Callithrix jacchus: one gene and its partners. The protein of the gene in region 3 purifies or fractionates together with the protein of the main gene of each other region. This does not show direct contact. Links are inferred from orthologs where the notes say so. Each region holds a gene or a part of one and is shown on either strand. Other genes may lie near its edges. The genes, in order: RELA, MAP3K8, TNIP2, TNFAIP3 and TANK.

Region 1 (4,142 bases), on a different chromosome or scaffold from region 3:
CGCTGATTGATAGCCTGCTCCAGATCTCGCTTCTTCACACACTGGATTCCCAGGTTCTGGAAACTGAACACCCCCACTCACCTGTCTCTTGCAGAGCTGGGACCTTCCTGCCTTGCCCAGCCTGCTCCTTCCTCCCCTGCCCACCCGCAGATCATCGCTCCATACCTAACCCCCTCCAGTGGCTTCCCACTATGCTGCAACGAACCCTGTCCCTCCCCTCCGCTGACAAGCACCTCTGCGCCCCCGCCCCTGCCAGCCTCCCTTTGGGCCATCTGCTTACCACCATAGGGGCTTCCTTTCCCTTCTCTAACACAAGACACTCATTCCCACTTCAAGGTCTTAGCACTTGTTTGGTCTGCTTGGAATGTTCTTTTTCCTACTTTTCTCCTCCTCCTCACCATTCAAGCAGTAGCAGAGGGAGGCCTTCCCTGACCTCCCAATCTAGTCATTACACTAGCTCCCCTCACTCCCCGACCCCAGGTTATCCTTTCATCCTATGACCTTGTTTTATTTTCAGCACTGAAAGTATTACTCTGACAGTACCTTGTTTACTTATCTGTGTATTTATTCATATTTTATTTGTTTATGTATTTTTAGACAGAGTCTCACTCTGTTGCCCAGGCTGGAGTGCAATGGCTCAATCTTGGCTCACTGCAACCTCCGCCTCCCAGGTTCAAGCCAATCTCCTGCCTCAGTTTCCCAAGTAGCTGGGATTACAGGTGTGCACCACCACACCCGGCTAAGTTTTTGTATTTAGTAGAGCCAGGGTTTCACCATGTTGGTCAGGCTGGTCTCGAACTCCTGATCTCAGATGATCCGCCAACCTCAACCTCGCAAAGTGCTGGGATTACAGGCATGAGCCACTGTGCCAGGCTATTTACTTGGGTGTCACTCTGTCACTCAGACTTCAATGCTGTGACATGATCACAGCTTGCTGCAGCAAGGACCTCCTTGGCTCAGGTGGTCCTCCCACCTCAGCCTCCCACCTCAGGTAGTCCTCCCACCTCAGCCGGTCCTCCCACCTCAGCCTCCCACCTCAGGTGGTCCTCCCACCTCAGCCTCCCAAGTAGCTGGGACTATAGGAACATGACACTATACCTGGCTAATTTATTTTTTTGTAGAGATAAGGTCTCATTATGTTGCCTTAGCTAGTCTTGAACTCCTACGCTCAAGAGATCTTCCTGCCTTCATCTCCCAAAGTGCTAGGATTATAGGCATGAGCCACTACGCCTGGCCTGTATATTTTTTTTATAGTCTGTCTCTGTCAACTGTAATGTCAACTCCGGGGAGAGTACTGGTTCAATGGTTTTCTTTCTCAAACAAGAGACATGACTCTGACGGACTACCCCTTCCAGCTACAGGGTCAGGGATTCAGAAGTGATTAGGGACCCATCCCTATCCCCTAGAGCTCCTATCTGCTAGAGTAGAGGTATAAATGATAATTTTAAAACAAAGGGAGTTTACTTGCAGAACTATGTCAGAGCAAGGAGTGAGAAATTGTCCTGTGTCCAGAAAGGAGTAACACTGTAGCGTCTACCTCACAGCCCGCATCCTGTCCCCTCAGGCTGGGCCTCCTAGACTGCAGGGAGCTCACCTGTGGATGCAGCGGTCCGGGCAGAGCTCAGCCTCGTAGAAGCCATCCCGGCAGTCTTTTCCTACAAGCTCATGGGGGTGAGGCCGGTGAGGAGGGTCCTTGGTGACCAGGGAGATGCGTACTGTCCCTGGCCCTGTGTAGCCATTGATCTGTCCAAAGTACAGAGAAGCCCAGACATCCAAACCTGACTCCCAAACAGAGGGCTGGGGCTCGCAGTCCCTACCCCGCACTCCCCGGCTCAATGCTGACCTTGATGGTGGGGTGCGTCTTGGTGGTATCTGTGCTCCTCTCGCCAGGGATGCTGCCCGCGGAGCGTCCCTCGCACTTGTAGCGGAAGCGCATGCCCCGCTGCTTGGGCTGCTCAATGATCTCCACATAGGGGCCAGAGGCCTGGGCTGGCTCTGCCAGGGGACACCGCAGACCCATTAGGTGGCTGCCCCCGCTGCCCTACCCCAGGGAGCACCTCCCCGACCACCGCGGGGGCCACTTACCTGCCGGGAAGATGAGGGGGAACAACTCTGAAAGGGGAGAGAGATCAGGGTCAGCACACACCCACTGCCCATCCTCACCGGGGGAATCTGCTCCCCACGAAGAGAAGCCAGGCTCCCTCCCAGGGGAACGGAGTCAGGACCCGTTCCCTAGAACAGGCGGTGAAACTAAAGGGTGGGGAGAAGGAGCCAGAAACACCTGCTTCTTGAGAGAAAACGGGGTAAGGAATCCTTCCTCTCCCGAGGGCAACTGAATTAGTTTTCCTTTCATAAGGAAAACTGGGGGAGGGCACGCCCCACCTCCGTCCAGAGAGGAAACTGAATCAGATGCGTTCTTCCCTAACAAGGAAACGAAGCCAGAGCTGCCCCCATAGACAGTGGGGGGGAAACTGAGTCAAGGCTCCCTCCGCTGTCCCACCCAGGGAGGATACTGAGTTAAGGCCCTCCCCTCCACCCAGAGGGGAAACTGAGTCAGATCCCTCCCCGCTTGCCCCGCCCCGCGCCACCATCCAGCAGGCAGGCCGCTCCCTGCGCAGCGCCCATCAGCGCAAGAAGGGGCGGAAAGCGGCGCGGGGGCTCCCGCCACAGCCCCGGCGGCCCCGGCGCGGCCACCCCGCGGGGTCAGAGGGCGACCTCACCGTCCATGGCCGGGGTCCCGGGGGCGGGGCCGGGGTCGCAGCTGGGCCCGCGGCGGGCGCTACAGCCTAGCCATTCGCCAGAAGCGGAAATGCGCCGCGCGCGCCCGCCGTCGCGTCACTGCCAGGAATCCGGCCGCGCCTGCGTGCTGCACCGCGGCGGCCCGGCGCAGGGGCCGAGAGCAAGTGCGCGCCGCGCGGAGGACGAAGAGGCCGCGCGCACAGCCGCCGCAGGGGGCCGGGGCCAAGTGCGCGCCTCGCGGGGGACGAAGAGGCTGGCGCGGCAGGCTGCTGGGCTAGTTTCCGAGTCCCGGCCCCACCTGGAGGGCGTGTCCGTCGATTACTCACTTTATTTTTAGGGGATTTCGGGGCCCCTTCCCGCGATCGGTGGAGTTGGTGATGTCACTCTGGGCCGGGTCTAGAGCTAAGCCAGGGCTGCTGGGCTGCGGCCACCCGTCCCGCGCAGGGAAAGGCCAAGCCTGGCCTTCTGCGCCCGCAAAGGCCAGGTGGTTGAAGTCTACGCGGGTTTCCTGATCGCTAAAGGCGCCTTTCGGTGGTGACTGTCTCAGAAGCACGTTAAAATGTCCTAGCCACCCCAATCTAGATGCGGCTCTGGGGAAGGGGAGCGGCCGGGCCTCCTCGCCTGACAGTATAGACTAGCTCTGCAGAGCCTGCAGCCCGGATGGGACGACCGAGGCCCTCCCGCCGGCGAGCTGGCCGAGGGCTCGCCCCTCTCACGCTAAAGAGCCAGCTTAAGATGCAGCCGAACTGCATTTTAGACCCTGAGCGACCGTGGGAGCAGGAGGAGCCCGGGGGTAAACCCCGGAGCCTTGTCTCCGCAGCCTGGCGCTTGTCTCAGAAGGTCCGGGACCCCCAGGGGACACTTGAATCAGCAGAGTCACGACGCCCCCGCCCACCCCTGCGTTTGCCCTGGACCTCTAGCTAGGGCTGACCACTAATTCTGTCATGTGACCCCCACAGTGCCGGTATCGCCCCCAAGACCAAACCGCGTACGTGTCGGGGCTGGGGCTGGCGCACCCCCACCCCACACCTCCTCCCCGAAAGAGGATGCTCCACTGCAGGGGGCGGAGTCTTCTCCAGATGGAGAAAGACTTTATTTTTTCTCTGAATTCGTCTTAAATTAGGAAATCATGTGGGAATTGGAAAAGATTGGAAATTCTGACTTGTTTCCCAGGCTCTGAAGAAACAGGAAGAGAAAAGTGAAAATAGAGTTAGCACCCCGCCCACTCATTTCAGTTTCTCCAGTGGCTGGCCCTGATTAGAAAAGTGTTTACTTTTGTTAGGGGGCGGGGGAGGCAGACTTCAGGTGGCAGAATGGATTAATCAAAATCTTTGGTTAATGACATAAAATTATCATTGAATCTTGCATGGATCCTCTTCTTAAAATTCATGTATGTTTATAAC
Region 2 (2,685 bases), on a different chromosome or scaffold from region 3:
CACTCCTGGCTAATTTTTGGTTTTTGTAGAGACAGGGTTTCACCATGTTGGCCAGACTGGTCTCGAATTCCTGGGCTCAAGCAGTTTTCCCACTTCAGCCTCCTAAAGTGTTGGGATTACAGGCACAGCCACAATTATTTTTTCTACCTCGATGTAGCACGGGGATGCAAACCATTCCAGTTGACAATAGCTTCATACAAGAACAATAGAAAAGGAGTGTATTGGCCGGGTGCAGTGGCTTATGCCTGTAATCCCAGCACTTTGGGAGGCCGAGGTGGGAGAATCACGAGGTCAAGAGATCGTGGGTAATATATATATATATATATATATAAATATATATATATATATTTTTTTTTTTTTAAAGAAAAGGAGTGTATTAACACAATTTGCAAAGCTCCTGGTATTTGTTGCCTTCTTATGATACATATTTTCCTCTCACCTATATCCCAGCTCCTATAGGCTGTCCTCAGTCCCAGGTGAGAATCATAGTCTTCACAATAACTAAGGCAAAATACTGAATTTATTCAGTTGATTTGACCAATCACATTGGACAAAAGGGTTTTATTTGCATAATATAAAAACATACTTTAAGTAAAACTACTTGCATACTTTACAATGTTACAAATATATATGAGAGATTCATGAAGGCATTTGATATAAAACATACACAGTATGCTATTTTAATGTACAAATGCTTAAAAGAAAATTGAGTCAGAAGAATTACAAAAGGAGCATCATCAATAATTCACAAAAGTTTTCATTTTTCTTAAAGGTCACATTCTCATCCTTTGGGATGTACCAAAATAATGTGGTTTACACAGTTTTATCCACATTCAGAACAACGTGTTTTGAATGTCTTAAGCATAGCATGTACAGTACACAATGTTTCCATAGGAACATAAAAGAAACTGTCACTAGTGGCCTGCCCTCAGATGGCTTCTAATTCATCTTAGCCATTTTTAAGACACTAGTCCAGCTTATTGCTACAATATTCAAGTTGTTCTAGTCACCCAAATTATAATGAATTCAATGTATACTAGAATTTACCAATAAAGGCTCAAAGAGTTATATACATCAATATACACAACACAACTATTCCAAGTAAAATGAAGATTCCATACTTAAATAAGAAACGAGAATAGTAATTTTCAGGTACCCTATTATCCCTGTGACTGGCATGTTTAGAATTTTGAGCAAAGTGCACAGCGAATGAAACAGTCAGCAGACACGACTCTTCTGTGAACGTGCAAACTCCTTCCTTGGAATAACATCACCTGAGAAATGAGAACCTTGAGGCCTGGTGCACACCAGATAGCTTCACGAGTCAAACACACAGGGGCCACTTGGAGGTACATTCGTGGGTCACGGGAGGTCACGCTGCTCCTTCAAAAATGGTACAATTCACTATACAGGGTCCCTGTGTGGAGGCGGCAGAACCAGCCTCCAGGAGATAAATGCTGTCTTAATTTAGAGAAACATGTCGTCCTTCAGCCATATTCAAGAGTTGGTGGCCCACGAACAAGATTGAAGTAGCCGGCCAGAGCGCCAAGGTCTATGTAGAGAGAGCGCTGTCGCTTGAGCATCTCAGACTCCTCGGTGCTTCCCGTGCATGAAGAATCTGAAAAGGAAAATATTAAAAAAATAAGTTATGAGAAAACATATCAAATAATAAATAACTTCCTTCTGCAGAGAAATAAATCCTTTGGGGCCTAATAAAACCAGCTGGGCACAATGGCTCATGCCTGTAATCCCAACACTTTGGGAGGCCAAGGTGGGCAGATCACAAGGTCATGAGTTCAAGACCAGCCTGGCCAACATAGTGAAACACCTTCTCTACTAAAATATAAAAATTAGCCAGGTGTGGTCGCAGGTGCCTGTAATTCCAGCTACTCAGGAGGCTGAGGCAGGAGAATCTCTTGAACCCAGGAGGGAGAGGTGGCAGTGAGCCAAGATAGTGCCATTGCACTCTGGCCCGGGCAACAGAGCAAGACTCCATCTCAAAAAAAAAAAGAAAAGAAAAAAAACCATTACATAGACCACAAAGTTCAAACAGGAGTCAATGGAGACAAGAAATTAGTTAGAAATCCTGGCATATTTTTCCAATAGTCAGATGGTCCTCTTCAAATACACAAAAGTCAGATAAGCAGCAAAGAAATATAAACAAGTATACCAGGCTTGACATCTGGGTTTGGACCTAAATGGATTAAGAACGCCACAGATTTTTAATAAAAATGGAAACCCCTCTCCCTGCATATTCAGTGCTCCTGGAATGCATACTGACTTTCCTAAGTGGAAAAAATTCATGGCTGGCAAGATTTTAAGCAGAGGAAGATGGAAATGTAAGTTGACTTCAAACTCAGTATTTTATCCATGCAGGGCAATGCTATGCTGTTTCCCTAACTCACTTGATGTGCGGTGGCTCATGCCTGTAATCCTAACACTTTGGGATGCTGAGGTGGGTGGATTGCCTGAGGTCAGAAATTTAAGATCAGCCTGACCAACATGGTAAAACCCAGTCTCCACGAAAAATACAAAAATTAGCCAGATGTGGTGGCAAGCACCTAGAATCCCAGCTACTCAGGAGGCTGAGGCGACAGAATCGCTTGAACCTGCGAGGTGGAGGTTGCAGTGACCTGAGATCATGCCACTGCACTCCAACCTGGGTGACAGAGCAACGCCATCTCA
Region 3 (3,518 bases):
GGCAAGAGAGCGCCACGCCCATGGGATACAGGAGCCACGGACACGGAACAGATCGTTTGTTTCTCTTACTGTCTGCATTTGACCACTGCAGGAAGGAGGCTCTGAAATCACATTTTACGTGGGCACCGTGACTCCTGCTGAGGCAGGAGGAGGACTGCTTGAGGTTAGGAGTTCAAGACCAGCCTGGGCAACATAGTGAGGCCCTGTCTCTATTTAAAAAAAACAAATCGGGTCTTTTGCCTGAAGTCCTTTATCCCTGAGAAGGGTCTCAGTGCCACCCAGGCTAGAGCACAGCCTCGGTGTCAAAGAGACACCCTGTCTTTAAAAATCAATCAATAAAAACAAGAAAAATAATCATCAGGGTTCCTGTAGTAATATAGCTTAGTATTTTGTTCTGTTGTCATGAGAGCGTTCTAGGTTCCTGGTCTGTCCCTTCTCACCTCAAGTCCTAGCGACAGAGGCTGGACCCTTCTGCTGCCACTTCTGGAGGAGAGCTTAGGCTCCTCCCTGGCTTTTCTGAAACTGTTTCTTCACGTGTGGGATGGACTAGTTGAGCCTGCTTCACTTCCCTCATAGACTGTTAATTTTGGAAGATTCTTCGGAAATAGAAAAGCACAAATTTAAGGCCAGGTATTAGAATTGTCAGGTCGGATGTGATGGTTCATGCCTGTAATCCCAGTACTTTGGGAGGTTGAGGCAGGCGGATCACTCAGTCCAGGACCGGCCTGGGCAACACGGTGAAACCTTGTCTCTACAAAAAAGACAAAAATTAGTCGGGCACAGTGGCATGCACTCAGAGTCCAGCTACTTAGGGGGCTGAGGCAAGAGGCTCACTTGAGCCTGGGCAGTGGAGGCTGCAGTGAGCCATGATGGCACCACTGCACTCCAGCCTGGGCGACAGGGCAAGACCCTGACTCAAAAAAAGAAACGTCATTCTAAGAACCATTTGAATTCTTTATTATTATTATTATTTGGGACGGGTCTCACTCTGTGGCCCAGGCTGGAGTGCTGTGGTGCAATCTTGGCTCACTGCAACCTCCGCCTCCTGGGATCAAGCGATTCTCCTGCCTCAGCCTACCGAGTAGCTGGGACTACAGGCGTGCGCCACCACGCCCGGCTAATTTTTTTGTGTTTTTAGTAGAAACAGCGTTTCACTGTGTTGGCCAGATGGTCTCAATCTCCTGGCCTCGTGATCTGCCCGCCTTAGCCTCCCAAAGTGTTGGATTACAGATGTAAGCCACTGCATTCCAGCCTTTCAATTCTTTAAGAAGTAATTAGGGTTGGGTGTGTCAATTTCCTAGAGCTGCTGTAAGAAAGTGCCACAGACTGGGGGACTTCAAGCCACAGAAATGTAATCTTTCACAGTTATGTTGGCCAGAAGCCGAAATCCATGGCACTGGCTCTCTGAAGGTGCTGGGGAAGGACCCTTTCTTGCCCCTCTGACGTTCCTGTGGCAGCCGGCAAGCCTTGGTGTTCCCTGGCCTGTATCCACAGGAAATCACTCATATCTTCGTTGTCATATGGCCTTCTTCTCTCTGTGCGTCTGTCCAGATGTGATCTTTTAATGAGGACACCAGTCCCATCCGAGTCTGGTTTGTCTTCAGCTTAGCTAATTACACCTGCAGATACCCTATCTCTAGATAAGGCTCCATTCCCAGATCCTGGGGGTTCCACTGTGGGCATCTTTTTGGAGTACCCACTACAGTAAAGTTTCTACCCTTCCTATCAAAAAAGTGCTTGGAATTGCCACTTTGATAATTTCATGATCACTGGGTATGGTGGCTTGAGCCTGTAGTCCCAGCTATTCAGGAGGCTGAGGTGGGAGGATTGCCTGAGCCCAGGAGTTTAAGACCAGCCTGGGCTATAGCGAGACCCTCATCTCAAAAAAACATTTTGATGTTATGAAATCTAAAATTATGAACTTGCTTGTGAAAATAGAATTTGGCAGGGCATGGTGGCTCATGGCTGTAATCCCAGCACATTGGGAAGCCAAGGCGGGCGGATTGCTTGAGCCCAGGAGTTCGAGACCAGCCTGAGCATCACAGCAAAACCCTGACTCTACAAAATACCAAAGTTAGCCAGGCACGGTGGCACATGGCCTATAGTCCCAGCTGCTCAGGTTAGGATGGAGAATCACTTGAGCCTGGGGAGGTCAGGGCTGCAGTGAGCCACAGTTGTGCTACTGCACTCTAGCCTGGGTGACACTAAGACCCTGCCTTAAAGAAAAGAAAAAGAAAAAGGTCTGGTGTGGTGGCTCACACCTGTAATCCCAACATGTTGGGAGGCTGAGGCAGGCAGATCACCTGAGGTCAGGAGTTCGAGACTAGCCTGGCCAACATGGTGGAACCCCATCTCTGCTAAAAATACAAAAATTAGCCGGGCGTGTTGGCGCACGCCTGCAGTCCCGGCCACTCGGGAGGCTGAGGCAGGAGACCTGCTTGGACTCGGGAGGTGAATGTTGTACTGGTCTCCAGCCTGGGCAACGGGATGAGGCGGTCTCAAAAAAAAAAGACTTTAAGATGAAGTTTTAGAATAGAACGTTGTAGCCAAAAAACTCCAGAGTTAACTGTTAGTTCCAGTGTCTGACTTGTGAATGAGTGTTTGTTGCCTAGTGATAGGGCGTCCATGCCAGGTTTCCTTTTGCTTTCTGAACATTTGCTCTTGACACTGGTTCTTTTAATTCAGTAAACTGTGCTTTTAAATCCTCCACTTAGGAAATTGAGAGGCTGACTGAGCGACTGGAAGAAAAGGAGAGGGAGATGCAGCAGCTGCTGAGCCAGCCACAGCACGAGCGAGAGAAGGAGGTCGTCCTCCTGCGGAGGAGCCTGGCGGAGGGGGAGCAGGCCCGGGCCGCCAGTGACGTTCTGTGCCGCTCCTTGGCCAACGAGACCCATCAGCTGCGGAGGACGCTGACCGCCACCGCCCACATGTGTCAGCATCTGGCCAAGTGTCTGGAAGAGCGACAGCATGCACAGAGGAGCATGGCGGAGAGAAGTCCTGACGAGGTAGGCCGCGGTGCAAGCGAGTTGTGGTGAAGAGCCTGTGCGCTGGAGCCATCGCCCACAGGCTCCTGATCACAGGGGTCGGAGGCGCCCCAGAGCCCTCCTGTGTTCTCAGTAACGAGACTCGGCTGACACGGCAAAACTCGCTCATCCAAGGGTTTCTTTTAAAATAATGGAATGTGCAAGATGGGATAGGAAAGCAGGCAGCCACCTCTGCCCCACAGCAGGCCTGTAGCTGGACCTGCGCCACGGCGGGTGGTGGCACTTGGGTTTCACGTGCCTCAGCTGAGGGTGAGGAGGAAGAGTTGGGGGTGGCAGAGCTGCCCGGGAGTGCAGTCAGCTCCTCCTCATCCGAGGACACTGAAGCACAGCCAGGTATACTGCTGGGGACCAGGAGTGCCTCCAAGTTCCACACCCAAAACTCCCGGAAGGACTGAGTACCCGCCTTCTGCAGGCTCAGCGTGTCTGCGTGGGTCCAGGCACAGCCAGAGCCGCCATCTCCAAAGCTGGCGTTAG
Region 4 (3,518 bases), on a different chromosome or scaffold from region 3:
GAGACCAATAAAACCCTCAAATATGTATCCACAGCCAGTATTCCTTCAAGTTACACATTTAGAAAAACTAGCTAAGTAAGTATTCAAACAAATGGACAAAAAAGATCGCCCAAGCCTTGTGCCTTGGCAGACGTGTAGCAATGATTGCATTCTGTTGAAATTTCCCCTTTGCAAAATCTAGAGCAAAGATAAGGCTTTTTTTCTTCTTCTTGTGCTTACTTTCAGTTCTTTATTGAGATGCACCAGTATAAAATTCCCTAAGTAACATCTGGAATTCCCCAGTGCTAAGTTATTTGACTAGCAATTGAGCAACAGCTATTGTACTTTTTGTTCTGGTGTGTAGACATTTAAACTGCGAGGTGCACCCTGGACTTTCCAAGTGGGTGTGGTCAGGGTGAGCTGGAATAGGGCTACTCATTATACAAGTGAAATCGCTGCAGCCAATAGACGCTGGAATTTTTCACATGAAGTTTCAATTTTATGCCACCTACTCCCTTCCTCATTCACCACAGTCTCATATCCTCAAATGCAAACTTGTGAATCACCCCCTCCCCAGATATTGCCTTTGAATAACCCTCCTATCAACGGAAAGATTATTATTATTTTTTTAAAAGGTGCTAATCAAAATCAAAGAAAAAAAAGTCATTTGTATTCCTCCCTCCCGATATCCTTTCTTCCACATTTAGACTCTTAAGGAGTTTTCTAGAAAGTGAAGAAACAAAAGGATTCTGAGTCTAAAAATGATTTCCCAAAAAACGTTACCAAAATGCACCTGGCTTTTGTAGTTTTATTTGTAGTGTGACTCCTTGTTGATTTCAATGACATGTTTGCAAAATAAGTGTTTCCTATTTATAGTCCCTTTTTTTTTCCTAGTGGAAATCGAGCATTTCCTATCTTAAGGAAACAAGGCAAAAAGTCAGTTAATTTTCTTAATAAGGTTTCCCCCTTCCTACCACATTTTTAATTCAGCAGAATCTTTCTTTCCAACTCCCCCAAAGTTTACTCTATCTCTTTTTAGTAACAAAATGGGAGAGGATTAAAACCACAAATTGTCAGGCACATAAACCCCATGATGACTTTACATAATTACCTACCTCTATGTATCACTTAATTTAATGCCAAGAATAATGCAGACAGTAGCTATCCCTAGTTTTCTTTCTACCTATGTTTCTAAGAATCAGTGTTTCATAAATCTAGGCAAGCTGTTGAAGCAATGTACAAGACCCCCCAGAATCAAAATTTAAAAACCCACATCCACCAATCACTCTAAGTTACCCAAGTCAAAAAAAGCCAAAGTTAATGTACCAATTAAGTTAATTAAGTCAGTGTTCTTATCGTAATCATTGTCAACAATGATTTTCTGCTCTTGGACATCTTACTTTTATTAGGATGGTTTGGGACTGTCACAGATTTAAGTATCTGAGATTCCTGGTCTTATGTAGTCTATGAGCATTTAATTGATCTTGTACAGTCCACTTGCTTATTGTAATAATTATCCACATCCATAGAGTAGAATTTTGTGCCTGCATGAAACTGTATGCAACAGACACTCCTGTTGATGCACAGATTCTTATCCAAGGGAAATGATTAAAAAATAAAGCAGTAAAGCTTGGAATAGGAAATAGCTACTCCTGGTAAAGGCCATTGGCAGAACAGCACAGGCAGGAAGGATTTCAGTGACTAGGAACCTCTAAAAATAATGAAGGTGAAGTCTAAAACTCATGCTAAAAATCTCAGCATCGATCTATTTCACACTGCAGGGCATAGGCAGTAGAACCAGGTCAGAGAGGAGGAGGAGACAAAAGAAATTCCTCATGTCTTCAACAGCCATTCACTGGTTAACCCATAAAATGCTACCAATTCGAGAGGCATAAGAACATCACACGCATTTTCTAATGACAGTGGGAAACAAACGTACTACCAGTTTTCACACCATGCTTTTCTTTTGAACTTAAGGCTATTAACATTTCCATTACGAGCCAGTGAAGGGTATTTTACAGATGATTAAACATTTGCAAGCATTAGAAACAAATCACCTAATTGGAGTATTAAAAACGCATTCTCCAAGCCTCAATGTGCTCTGCAATATACACAATCAGAAAATATCCTTAATAAATAGATTCACAAAACAAGTCAGCTCTTATCACATGTCCCGTATAGAGTTTCTACACTAAAGTGTCTACTAAATCTCAAGAGATTTGAGTTTGGGCTTGTGCTATTAAAGCTCCATGAATGGGGACCCAGCAAGCAGAAGCTATCACCCAGGCAAAAGAAGCACAACAGAGCAAGTCTTACCATTCGTTTTCAGCGCTACAAGCTTCCTGACTTCCCGACACCAGTTGAGTTTCTTCTGGCTTTCCAGGGAAGCCTGGATGTTTCTGTCGATGAGGGCTTTGTGGATGATCTCCCGAAATTGAGGACAAAACTGGCAAGTTCTGAACATTTCCAGTGTGTATCGGTGCATGGTTTTAAAATGATGAATGATCCCATTCGTAGGTTTAAAAATATCTTCTGGAGTTCTCTCCCGTATCTTCACAGCTTTCCGCATGTTGCTCAAATACAAAGCCTGAGGAAGGACTTGTTCGGCCATTGTGCTCTCCAGCACCTGAAAAGGAAAGAAAAAAAAACAGCCATTCCATTAGCCTGACTTTGATATGACTCCTATATACCTGTCTGCAGGAAACCCCAGTGTTTGATCTTGTCATTACCCTGATCTGTAGGCAAAAGATCTTAGCACCTCTACTCCCGGGATACTAGCTGGCCCAGAGATTAACTCACACTGGGCTGTTTTAAGTTACATCACTTTAAAAGATTAGTCTAAATAAGGGACGGAAGGCAGAGAGTGGGTACTGAGGAGGAGGGGAATAACCTGTGTTTTCAGTAACGTTTGTCAGGGAGCCAACCCTGTCTGTCAGCAACAGGTACTGCTCCTCAAAATCAACTGAAGCTCCTGTTTCATTCTGAGACCACGCTGAACAGCGCTGGATTTGGGGAGTACCGGATGCCAGTTAAGGGCTCAATGTAGCCCCGACAAGTCTATAGCTCCTTCCCTTCAGACCACCACCAAGCAATCCTGCCCTTGGGCAAACTCTTGAGTAATCACTCCCTCCCTATGCTGGTAAACTATTTTATGAAAAATCTTGCAATTTTATGCTGTCATTTAGGCTCCTGGTTGGTGTTTCCTCTTTAGCCCCAAAGAGAAGTATTTCAGTGTTTATTCATAAAGTTTATTCTGATGTTTATAAAGAGTTAAAGCGGAATGTTTTCTAATCAACAACAAAAAAACCACTTCCAGCAAGATGCACTGCAATTTTAAGAGCAGTCAACATTCCTTCAGAACCTTCCCACCAGACTTCATATCAGAATAAGAAACAGACTAATAATAGGCTGGGCACGGTGGCTCATGCCTATAACCTGGCACTTTGGGAGGTCGAGGTGGGAGGATCACTTGGGCTCAGGAGTTTGAGAATAGACTGGGCAACATATTGAGACCTAGGTCTCTACAAAAACAAAAAATG
Region 5 (3,518 bases), on a different chromosome or scaffold from region 3:
CTGACTGACAATAAACTTTTGTAAATGACAGATTATTCAAATTTAAAATAAACAAAACTATTAATGTATCTTAGAGCTTTCCACATCATCCCTGTTGTTCTAACCAAGGTTTTATTTTAAAAACTACCTTCTACATACTTTAAACTGGAGATATTCTATTACTTTCAAATTAATGTTATAAATGGAATAGGAATTTGGATTATTAAAATTATGGTAAATAATGGCATTTGGAAGACACTGAAACAGGAAGATTATACATATTGTTTACTTAAGCACTAAATTTATGTCAGCATTTATAGTAATTCAACAATTTTATAATGGAATCATTGTTTCTCAATTTCCCCTTTTGCAAAATAAACCTAATTTATTTCAATGCCATGGTTTCTTGTATTTATCAGCATTTTTAGATAAATGAAAATTTGAATGGGGGTGAAGAAAACTGAATGACTTCAAGAATGGTTTCAAATAAAAATATATGTACTAAGGGGCACCAGGAGAACTTATTAGTCTAAAATTTTTATTTACAGAAAAAGCTCTCAAAATTGGATTTCTCAAATTTGATGTTAAATAATAAGATAGTCTTTGTTATACAATCAGTAACTAAATAACCCTGACAAAGCTAAAATTTCCTACTTTATTTAGAAGGAAAGAAATAACTATAGCACTCTTGACTTAATTGGTCTTGTTGATATTAAGAAACCTTATTTGCCAGCTATTTTATTTAAAATATGTATCATCTCACCAAAAGCCAACACATCTCATTAAAAATATCCTTTTCAAACTTACAAAATTTCAATGACTTGTGAAAACAAGAGAACAATATATGTGAAAACGGAGAACAATATAAGATACATATATATACTATCAAGTTTATAAGGTTTACTATTTTGCATACTTGCTTAACTCTCTTCTATTAAAAAAAAAAAGTTACAGATATAACTGAAGCCCCCATTAGTACTTTCTCAGATAGCCCAGTCTCTTTTCTCGCCAGTTCTAGAAGTGATCGTTTTTCTAAAGAAGATGTGTAACCTTCCTGTCCAGGTTTATATACCTTTATTACATATTTGTGTTTTCACAAACATTAATGTTATGTTTTAAAAACTACACAAAGTATTCTAATTAGCCAGGCTGCACCTGTAGAATTACTTGAACCTGGGAGGTGGAGGTTGCAGTGAGCCGAGATTGCACCACTGCACGCCAGCCTGGGCAACAGAATGAGACTTTGTCTCCAAAAAAACAAAAACAGAACAAACAACAACAACAACGAGCGACATAAAGTATTTCCATTTTATCATTCTGTAATTTCCATCTTTACTCCACATTGCTACTGAAATTTAGGCAAATTTATATTTAGTATATTTTAATTTTTCTAAAGAGTTTCTAAAGATGGACTATTCTGTTATTGGCGGATACTTAGGTTGTTTCTAACCCATGTAGCATGAATGTCCTTGTATATGTCTCTTTGCAGATATGTAGTATTTCTTTCTATATTACTTCAAGAGAGTTTTGCTTAAGCTAGTTGAATAGATATTTCTTTGTCTAAACTAAGCACAATTAAAGAAAAAACTAGAAAGCTATTTTCTAATTGGTGTCTTACTATTTACCCAATTTTAATCTTCCATTTCATTGTATATTTACACACACACACGTATATATGCATGCATTTTTTGTTTTTGAGACAGGATCTCACTCTGTTGCCCAACCTGGAATACAGTGTCATGATCAAGGCTCACTGCAGCAGCATTGACCTCCTAGGGCCAAGCAATCCTCCCACCTAAGCCTCCTGAGTAGCTGGGACTTATAGGCATGTGCCATCCTGCCTAGCAAATTGTTTTATTTCTTGTAGAGACAGTGGTCCCCTGTGTTTTCCAGGCTGGCCTCAAACTTTTGAGCTCAAGTGATCCTCCCTCCTTGGCTTCCCAAAGTGTTTGAATTACAGGAATGAATCACTGGGCCCAGTCCTATTTGTTAATTATTTTCTTTGTTGAAATGCTTGTGATATAGAAAAAAGGTCAATAGAAAATATAAAACCTTAGCCTTTATTTTTACTTGGAAATAGTTCTTCTATTTAGAAACATTTAAGTCACATATTTGTATACATGGAATTTCTATTCAGAATTCCAGTGGTAGCTCACTTCAGAAAAATAAATGAGGAAGCTATGTTACGCATCAGCATTTGGATGCTGCTTTCTGCAGAAGCAATGTCTACCTTTGGTAGTTTTTCTCTTGCTATTCCTGAAATCACTTTATCATGTGGCTGATCAAGAGTCAAATTATTCTTCCTTGTTTCATAGTCTTCAAGCAGAGGAATACAGCCATAACTCTTATCTGTAAGACAAAAACCTTGTGGACATTAGTAGAAAAGCCTTATTTTTGGTACTACCTGAAAAAAAGCAAAAATAACACAAACTCAAAACCATAAAGATAATACATTTTTTTTTTTTTTGAGACAGAGTCTCACTCTGTCACCAGGCTGGAGTGCAGTGGTGTGATCTCAGCTCACTGCAACCTCCGCCTCCCGTGTTCAAGCAATTCTCCTGCCTCAGCTTCCCGAGTAGCTGGGACTACAGGCATGTGTCACCACCCCCAGCTAATTTTTGTATTTATTAAAGACAAGGTTTCATCATGTTGGCCAGGATGGTCTCGATCTCTTGACCTTGTCATCTGCCCGCCTCAGCCCCCCAAAGTGCTGAGATTACAGATGTGAGCCACTGCGCCCAGCAACGGAATAGATTTTAAGGTAGGAATTTTAGAATAGTTACTTTGACAAGTTGTCCATTTATATTTTTTCTTTCCCACTAAACACACAAAACCCCTACTCTCCGAAAGCCAGTAGTATGTAAAATATACAAAATTTAGAAAACTAGAAATATGCTCTCTGCATCTGTCAGCAACAATTCAACTTTTTTATGTCATATTTTCAGGTACGCATTTCTTATTTAAGATAATTATTTGTATTATGACTCCATGCTTGTTATAGAAAAATTAGAAAATGCAGACATGCCAAAAAGAATAAAAAGTAAATGCTACCCAAATTTTTATCAGCTGTGAATTATTCCTGTTAACATTTTGATTTATATATTGTATCAGATTTCTTCTTTTCCTAAACATATAAATTCACACAAGAACATTTTTCTGCATAAATGAAAATAACACTTATTTATGTATCCTGCTTTGTTCATTTTGCTATATATTGTGAATATATTCTTACAAGTTAATACCTATTATCATCACTTTTCTTGGCTACATAGCTATTCATATAGATCACTGTAACTTAACTATTGAAAATTTGTTTCTAGCTTTCCATGATTAAAAATTATACTGTGATACACATCCCTGTCTATATAGTTTCGAGCCTTTAACAAATCTTTTCTTATGATATAGTCTTAGGACTTGAGTTTTTGGTTCAAGAGGCACAGATGTTTGCAAAAGCTTTTGCTATTTACTGGCAAATTGCTTTTTAGGAAGTTTTATAAACTTAGAGTTCTACCATATAGTATAGTATATGTGAAAGTCTA

The links.
Region 1: the proteins of TNIP2 (region 3) and RELA purify together in Homo sapiens (affinity purification with mass spectrometry; 4 studies listed by BioGRID and IntAct, with this or other methods). This does not show direct contact. The link is inferred for Callithrix jacchus from reciprocal best matches to the Homo sapiens genes TNIP2 and RELA.
Region 2: the proteins of TNIP2 (region 3) and MAP3K8 purify together in Homo sapiens (affinity purification with mass spectrometry; 3 studies listed by BioGRID and IntAct, with this or other methods). This does not show direct contact. The link is inferred for Callithrix jacchus from reciprocal best matches to the Homo sapiens genes TNIP2 and MAP3K8.
Region 4: the proteins of TNIP2 (region 3) and TNFAIP3 purify together in Homo sapiens (affinity purification with western blotting; 5 studies listed by BioGRID and IntAct, with this or other methods). This does not show direct contact. The link is inferred for Callithrix jacchus from reciprocal best matches to the Homo sapiens genes TNIP2 and TNFAIP3.
Region 5: the proteins of TNIP2 (region 3) and TANK purify together in Homo sapiens (affinity purification with mass spectrometry; 3 studies listed by BioGRID and IntAct, with this or other methods). This does not show direct contact. The link is inferred for Callithrix jacchus from reciprocal best matches to the Homo sapiens genes TNIP2 and TANK.

What each region holds. Positions count from the first base shown.
Region 1 is NC_133511.1:122,752,128-122,756,269, forward strand, and holds the start of RELA (transcription factor p65), read right to left. Parts: upstream 2,814-4,142; 5' UTR 2,728-2,813; coding exon of another isoform or gene 2,721-2,727; 5' UTR 2,626-2,720; coding exon 2,589-2,625; intron 2,113-2,588; coding exon 2,086-2,112; intron 1,996-2,085; coding exon 1,844-1,995; intron 1,744-1,843; coding exon 1,595-1,743; intron 64-1,594; coding exon 1-63. UniProt on the Homo sapiens protein: NF-kappa-B is a pleiotropic transcription factor present in almost all cell types and is the endpoint of a series of signal transduction events that are initiated by a vast array of stimuli related to many biological processes such as inflammation, immunity, differentiation, cell growth, tumorigenesis and apoptosis.
Region 2 is NC_133508.1:30,400,003-30,402,687, reverse strand, and holds the end of MAP3K8 (mitogen-activated protein kinase kinase kinase 8), read right to left. Parts: intron 1,619-2,685; coding exon 1,488-1,618; 3' UTR 503-1,487; downstream 1-502.
Region 3 is NC_133504.1:190,410,919-190,414,436, forward strand, and holds part of TNIP2 (TNFAIP3-interacting protein 2), read left to right. Parts: exon of another isoform or gene 1-2,714; coding exon 2,715-3,005; intron 3,006-3,518. UniProt on the Homo sapiens protein: Inhibits NF-kappa-B activation by blocking the interaction of RIPK1 with its downstream effector NEMO/IKBKG.
Region 4 is NC_133505.1:144,648,659-144,652,176, reverse strand, and holds part of TNFAIP3 (tumor necrosis factor alpha-induced protein 3), read right to left. Parts: intron 2,782-3,518; exon of another isoform or gene 2,709-2,781; intron 2,606-2,708; coding exon 2,296-2,605; intron 1-2,295. UniProt on the Homo sapiens protein: Ubiquitin-editing enzyme that contains both ubiquitin ligase and deubiquitinase activities.
Region 5 is NC_133507.1:68,599,167-68,602,684, forward strand, and holds part of TANK (TRAF family member-associated NF-kappa-B activator), read right to left. Parts: intron 2,344-3,518; coding exon 2,210-2,343; intron 1-2,209.